Canis lupus familiaris: one gene and its partner. The protein of the gene in region 1 interacts with the protein of each later gene in a biochemical or structural test. Links are inferred from orthologs where the notes say so. Each region holds a gene or a part of one and is shown on either strand. Other genes may lie near its edges. The genes, in order: MDC1 and CDC27.

The links.
Region 2: the proteins of MDC1 (region 1) and CDC27 form a complex in vitro, tested with the Homo sapiens proteins (2 studies listed by BioGRID). The link is inferred for Canis lupus familiaris from reciprocal best matches to the Homo sapiens genes MDC1 and CDC27.

Annotation. Positions count from the first base shown.
Region 1 is NC_049233.1:640,987-644,809, forward strand, and holds part of MDC1 (mediator of DNA damage checkpoint protein 1), read right to left. Parts: coding exon 3,783-3,823; intron 3,472-3,782; coding exon 2,003-3,471; intron 1,292-2,002; coding exon 1,226-1,291; intron 1,061-1,225; coding exon 968-1,060; intron 391-967; coding exon 1-390. UniProt on the Homo sapiens protein: Histone reader protein required for checkpoint-mediated cell cycle arrest in response to DNA damage within both the S phase and G2/M phases of the cell cycle.
Region 2 is NC_049230.1:17,538,197-17,542,019, forward strand, and holds part of CDC27 (cell division cycle protein 27 homolog), read right to left. Parts: intron 3,352-3,823; coding exon 3,252-3,351; intron 2,257-3,251; coding exon 2,049-2,256; intron 1,849-2,048; coding exon 1,676-1,848; intron 1-1,675. UniProt on the Homo sapiens protein: Component of the anaphase promoting complex/cyclosome (APC/C), a cell cycle-regulated E3 ubiquitin ligase that controls progression through mitosis and the G1 phase of the cell cycle.

The DNA of each region.
Region 1 (3,823 bases):
CCTTTTGGTCAGACTCTTGTCCCTGATTATCTCTAGCTAACACCCGTATCCCTCTAGTTAACTCTTCTCCTAACACATCTTCTCTCTCTCCTGCTGGCAGCTTCTTGGTTTCCCTGTCCAATGGGCCTCTCTCAGGGGCCACCTCCTCTGGTGCTTCTCTTGGTGTACCCATGTCTTTCTCCACAGTCTGCATCCCTCTGCCTTGAATCCCCAGTGGCTCTGCATGAACTGGGCTCTCTGGATGTTGGGCTTGTGGTGCTGTCCTAGGTGTAGAGGGGCAAGATCCATGGGCATCAATGTGGGCAGCAATGGGCTGGGGCTCAGAGGCCTCAGACTCTCTTGGACAGAATGGCTGTGTTGCCAAGACTTCCCACGGCTCATCCAGGGCACCTGGAAGTAGAGTCAGGGAGAGAGAGACAGAGAGAGACAGAGAGACAGAGAGATAGAGACAGAGAGACACACACACAGAGAGAGAGAGATGCAGATTGGGAAAGTAATAAATAGGATGAGAAAAGATTAAGATAAATTCATGAATAATAGGGATGCCTGGGTGGTTCAGTAGGTTAAGTGCCTGCCTTCGGCTCAGGTCATGATCTTGGGTCCTGGGATTGAGCCCCACGTGGGGCTCCCTGCTCAGCAGGGAGTCTGTTTCTCCCTCTCCCTCCACCCCTTCCCCAAATCGTGCAGGTGTGCTCTCTTTCTCTCCCTCAAATAAAGCAATAAAATTTTTAAAATAAAAAATTCATGAATAATAAACCTAATAATCATAATCATAAGCTGGTCATTAAAGGAAAGTTGGGAAGAGGACCAAAAAAATAAGATGCATACAGAAGTTCTCATAGCAGCCTCTTTAAAAATGATGGAGATGGAGAAACGTCAGTAAAAAGTCAAAGAATATGAAAGAAACATGTAAAGAGAAAAAGCAATGATGCCAAGTTAGGAGCATGAAGGATAGAGTTTCTTATACCTGAGGCCTGGAAGCTGTAATAGGAAGGGCCAGACTCTTGGGGTAGAGTAGCCAGGAAGGCCTGAGTGGCTTCATCCTCCATGCTCTGGACTGCTGCAGAAGAAAAGCTGGCTCACGCCTAGCTCTTCCACAGAACTCTGGGGACCCATTCTTGGCCTCCTGCCCCACCTACACCAGCTTTCACAACCTTCAAGGACCACCAGTCTGGGCTCCCAGCTCCCACTTGCACCAACATCCATACAACACAGATGCCCTCACCTTCTGGGCTCTGATTCTCTCTCTCCACAAAGCACTGGGTAGCCTGTAGGTCCAGGTCTTCAGAATCTGATGGGGGAGCAATATAAGATAGATAAGTCATATCTCATGCTTAACTCCTTACTCTTTCTCTACCATTTTCTCCCCAACCCCAAGCCCTCTACAATGGACTGAATGTTTGTATCCCACCCAAAATTCATATGTTGAAACCTAATCCCCAATGTGATTTTATTAGGAGGTAAGGTCTTTGGGAGATGATTAGGTCATGAGGGTAGAACCCACTGAATGGGATTGGTACCCTTATAAAAGAGACCCCACAATTAGCTTGTGCCCTTCTACCATATGAGGACACAGTGAGACAACAGCTGCCTATGAACAAGGAAGTAGGTCTTCATCAGAACACAATCATACCAGAACTTTGTTGTTTTTTTTTAAGATTTTATTTATTCATAGAGACACAGACTGAGAGAGAGAGAGAGGCAGAGACACAGGCAGAGGGAGAAGCAGGCTCCATGCAGGGAGCCCGACGTGGGACTCGATCCCAGGTCTCCAGCAGGATCACACCCCGGGCTGCAGGGGGCGCTAAACTGCTGTGCCACTGGGGCTGCCCCATACCAGAACTTTGATCTTAGACTTCTAAGCCTTCACAACTATGAGAAAGAATTTCTATTGTTTATAAACCACCCAGCCTATGGTATTCTGTTACAGTACCCCAAGTGGACTAAGATATTCTATAAGCGTTCTTTCTTTTCGGGGTCAAGGAAGAAGGCCAGCACTTACCACCATGGTTGTCTCCACAGTTCTTGGTCCTGTCCACATGTGGTTCTCTCTTCCTTTCTGTGGGGGTCTGGGCTCCCTCTTTCTGTGGTTGGATGGTTTCTCCTGAAGTGCCTGTGTCCACCACCAGATCTATAAGGTTCTCCTTTGAGACAGGGAGAAGATCTTGCTCCACCTGTGATACAAGTGAAACCCCCTGGGCCCTCGCCTCAAGAACTCTCTCCTGCTCAAGAACTGGTGCAGCCGATTCTGTCCCAGCATCCCCTTCTGCTAGAAGCTGGTGCTTTCCAGTATCTGCCACCAGTGAGGCTGCTAAGGATGTGTCCTCCTCCACATCTGTCCCACAGTCCTCAGATAGAGGAGGCTGGGGTTCCCCTAGGTGCATCACAGGCAGCTTTGCTTGGCCCCCTTCTACTTCCACATATGTTTGATCTGTCCATACCACAGGCACCTGATGCTTCTCCACAAGTATAATAGCTGGTCCTGGTAGGACTTTCTCTTCCACTTGTGTGATGTCTATGGTGGCAGAGGCTTGATTTCTCTCCAGGTGGACCTCAAGTAAGCTCTTATCTTCATCTACCTCTAGATCACTGTCTTGGAGAGGAAACTGCCTCTTTTCTGAGCATGCCTTGTCTGTATGACACTTGGGCACAGTTCTTCTGTTTTCCATTGGGAGACCCTCCTCCTCCACGTCTGTCTTACTATCTCTCCCAGCAGAGGTTTGGCTTGGCTCCAGAAGGGCCACAGGTTGGGCCCTGTCCTCTTCCACATCTGTACCTCTGTTCCATGTATCAGATCCGCTCTCTTTCAGACGTGCCAAAGTGAGTGCTGCTAAGACTTCTTCCTCATCATCTGTATTGCTGTCAATCACCATGGAAATTTGGTTTCTCTCCAGAGGGACTGCCAGTTGGATCTCACTTTCCTCCACATCTGTATCATTACCAGCTGGGATCTCCTGTAGATGTACCAAAGCAGGTTCCTGAAGACTCTTTGTACTAACTCTGTGGAAGATTTGCCTCTTCTTCATAGGAACTACAGCTGGTGTTGCAGGGATCCGTTCTTCTTCCACATCAGTATCACTGTCTATGAAATCAGAAGGTTGGGCCCTTTCTAAATGGACTTCAGCAGGCCTTACTGGAGGCCTGCTCTCATCCACATCTGTGTCACTGTCCTCCCCAGCACTTTGGTTTCTCTCCAGAATCCCCCCAAGTGAGACCACCCCATTCCTTGCATCCCTCTCAACTTTTGTGTTATTGTTCCTCTCCTTCACTGAACACTGATCCTTTCCAAGCTGGGTTGCAGGTGTCATAGCTTTCAGCTGTTCTGTTTCTGCAGTGGGGCCTCTTCTGGCAGATAAGGAGGCCTCTCCCGCTGCTGAATGCTGACTTTCTTCCTCATCTGTGTCACTGTCCAGGTTGAAGGCAAAAGGTGGCCCAGGGCCATCTGGGGCAGGAGAAGGCCCCTCTTCATCACTGTAAAAGGGAACAGAAGAGAAAGGGTTGATAGCATCTGTTTCCCAAGAAGAAATACTCCACTCAACTATGAGCACCTTAAGGGCAGACACAAGGCAGTAGCTGTTTGTTTGTTTGTTTCTTTCTTTTCTCTCCAGCAATTAGTTCTCACTTGGCACATCAGAGATGCTCAATAAAAGTTCAGCTGAGCAAAAGAGTATGTGCAATTCCCCAGCCCCACTTTCATAACAATCATCTCTTGCAGATAGATTCTACAGTCCCTGGTTCCTCCTCCTTTTAAAGATGTAAGTGTCTGGCCCTTTGGCACTTACCTCTCTGGAACTACTGCTGCCAAAGGGGAGGTCCTTGGTTC
Region 2 (3,823 bases), on another chromosome or scaffold:
CCAGGCATCCCTATGTAAGTTTTTCAAACAGACATTGGTTATATGAAGACAGACTTGACCAAGTCAAATACAGGTTTTGGAAATATTTTGGTTTCAATTTTTTCAGGATCTATAGTGTCCTCTGAAAAGTGATTGTGGCATAGACAAAAAGAAAAAAGGGGGAAAAAAAACCCCTCATGAAATTAAGTTGAAACAAAGGCTTCTGTTTAGTTAGTAACTGGGTCACTGTTCTATAATTAGAGGGAAACAATTAAAATTATGTATTTTAAAGTACCTCTGAAACAAATTAGAAATAATTTTGAAAAGGGCTTGCCAAACATAGCTTTTGTCTATGTATCAGTAAAGGACCATTATCCAAACATGGAACTTATAGCAATGAATAAGGCTATCTGTCTACAGCAATACTTCTTTCTTTTCCATACAAAAGTACATGAGTTAATATCTTCTGTATCTATTCTCTACCTGGAAGAACACTTCATTCTCAGATCTGCATGGCTCATGGAGGAAGGAGTCACCTCCTTTCTCTGAGCATGTTTTTTTAATATATAGCACCACATATTTATTATTGTCCTGCAATTCTCTTACCATGCTTCATTTTTTTCTTCCTATGACTTATTGCTACCTGTCCTTATACATTTATTGGCTTACAATCTCTTACTAGAATGCAAGCTCTAGAAAGCCAAGCAATTATTTGTCTAGCTGTATTACAGAGTCTAGAAGAGAATATTAATCTATAATATGCACTGAATAAATGAAAGTAAATAGGGAAATACTTAGGGGTGAAGTGGGTACAAAATTTAAATTAAAAATCAGAATTTTCTTTTCTTCTTTCCTGGTAAACAAGTAACTTAAGCAACAAACATAATTAAAAGGATAAAAGCCTTGCGAAGGACATTATGTCCTTGATTATATACAGTTTTCTTTATGGCACTTTTCAAATTTATAAAACATATTAAATGCCAGAAATTCATCCCAGTAGGAACTCTGCATATAGTAGAAAAAAATTTTGATTATAAATATCTATTACATGGTAATATATCTTTGGATCCAACTGAGCAGGGTACAAATGTCTGTCTAAGAATATACGAATGTGGGTGCCTGGATGGCTCAGTTGGTTAAGCGTCCAACTCTTGATTTTTGGCTCAAGTCATGATCTCAGGGTTTTGAGATAGAGCCCTTGTAAGGCTCTGCACTCACATGGAATCTGCTTCAGATTCTTTCTCCCTCTCCCTCTGCCTCTCCCCTGACTTGAGCTCTAAAATAAATAAAATCTTAAAACCAAACATAACAAAACATATAGATGACTTGGATTCTCTAAAATAAGCAATTCCCTCAAATTTGAATTACCCCTTAACACAAGAAAAAATTGTCTATTTATAAATTAAAATGCTCAGAAAATATACATAAAGACATTACATAATAAATATTGGCCTTTTATTTTTTTTGTCTCGTTTTGTTAAATTTAAGCAGGCTGCACACCCAGTGTGGAACCCAATGCAGGACTTGAATGCATGACCCTGAGATCAAGACCCAAGCTAAAATCAAGAGTTGGATGCTTACCTGACTGAGCCACCCAGGTACCCCTAAATATTTACCTTTTAAATCTGTCTCGAGCATAGGCATTTTAATTAAATTCTCTCTAAAAAAGGCATGTATAATAGTTTTCTATACTTACTTGCATGTACTCTGAAAGTTCAAAATAGGCCCTTCCAATTTGGCACAGTACCCAACCAGTATTGTAGTGGTGAGAAGGTAGGTGGCTCAAGATATTTATAGCTTCTTTGCAGTTGTAAGAACACAAAGCTAAATAACCTTTCCCCATTTCACGAAGAAGGCTCATCAAACCTTCTAGGAGAAAACAATATAGTAAACAAAGGAGAAAAACACAATAAAACAGTTTGATTTTTTTAGAAAGGCTAACTACAAAATAATTTATTAAAAATTCCAATATCTATCTAGAAAAAACTGGAATGTACTTTAATGAACATAAAAAAACTTAAAGTGAATAAAATAAAATACAAAGAAGATATTAAGCATTTAAAACAGACCTGCTGCTGCTTTCTGTAGATTAAATGCCTGGATCTGAGGTGTGATTGTGGAGATTTTCCCTTCTGAAATGATGGAAGAGTCCAATTTGGTAATTTCCAGGCTATCATTTATGTTAGGTTGAGTTATTCCTCCTTTATTAGTTTTACTTTTAGTTTTTCTGTTTGGGATTTTAGGTGGAAACTTCATTTTTAACTTTTTGCTATTCTCCTGTAAAAAAGAGAAAAATTCCACATTTGTTAAACTCATGTATTTTAGACTTCCCAGTCCTTTCTCAAGTATCAGACACAAAATAAATATATAGTCTTGACTGGGCTATATTTTTCTCACAAAAAAATTACAGAAACAAAATTTTCAAAATCATTTAATTTTAAATGCAAAATAAATTGTATTCACGAATTAGTGTGTAATATAAATCAGCATTATGTGTTCGTTGCTCTTTTCTCAAAGTGTATCACTTTCATTTATTATTTAAAATAAGAAAATAAATGGATGTAATACTACCTAGTTGTCTCAGAGCATTGTAACTGGTAAGTCATAAAACTGTTGATTTGTTGATGTCAAAATTAAAAATTATCCATAATATTTGTCAATGGACCAAGAAAATTTACCAAGGGCATAATGAGGCCCTCCAACTGTACAAAGAAATATGCAAAGAAAACACAGAAAACTTCTATTTATCCTCCCTCTAATTTTCCCAGTGATACTATCTGATATAACCACAGGACATCAACAAATCCATGACCCTGGAATCAGTTCAGTACTGTCAACTAAATTAAGATCTTATTTGGATTTCATCAGTTTTGACATGTACTTATTTTTTGGTGTGACAGATCTATGAAATTTTATCACTTGTATGATTCGCATAATCAACCATTACAATAAGGATACAGGACTGTTCGACCACTACACAAAGAAACTCCTTTGTGCTATGCTCTAATAGTCACATCTTCCCCCCACAGTCTTAACTCCTAATAGCCACTAATTTGTTTCCCATCATAATAATTTTGTCTTTTGAACAATGTTTTATAATATTTATTTAAAAAGGACATTATTAAAGGACGGAGAAAATCTACAAATGTTATAGACAGCTTTACAAATTAAAAAAAATTAAAATAGTCTCTGTGTTTGAGATAAAGTCATCAATGAACAGAAATTTAAGAAGGCTAAGCATTAAGTATATATAACAGAAATCTTTAAATTACCTTGGTTGTAGAGCTGTCACTAGTAAAAAGTCGTGAACTTCTTCGAGGCAGTGCGTTTGGGGGAGATGTGATAGTGGGGCTCAATACCTGAGGTGTTGTACTAAAAAAAAAAAAAAGATAAAAGTGGACTTAAAAAAAAAAAACAGTTTATGACCATTACTTGTTTCAATTCAGATACATTTTAAAAAATGCATTCATCATGTTTGTACTCTAAAGTTCTTGAGTTTGGTTGGTCTATTTGTCATCCCTCTATGAAAACTCAGGATTTAAAAGTTATCTGTTACCATAAAATGATAAAAATTATAACATGGATATTCACTCTATATGAAATTGCTAATTTGAACTTAAAACAATCCACATAAAAATTCTGGATCAATAAATGATAAACATGTCTATAAACTAATACTCTCTAGCTCTCATTTGCAACCATAGCGAGTTAGAGAAAGATAGTTGGATACAGACAGTCTAAGTGTGGGATATTTGGCAACAAATAAATACCATTAAAACAATGGATACTTGGGAAATTATTTCCCTATAAATTCAAACAACCACATCAAGGTTTATTCTGTTTA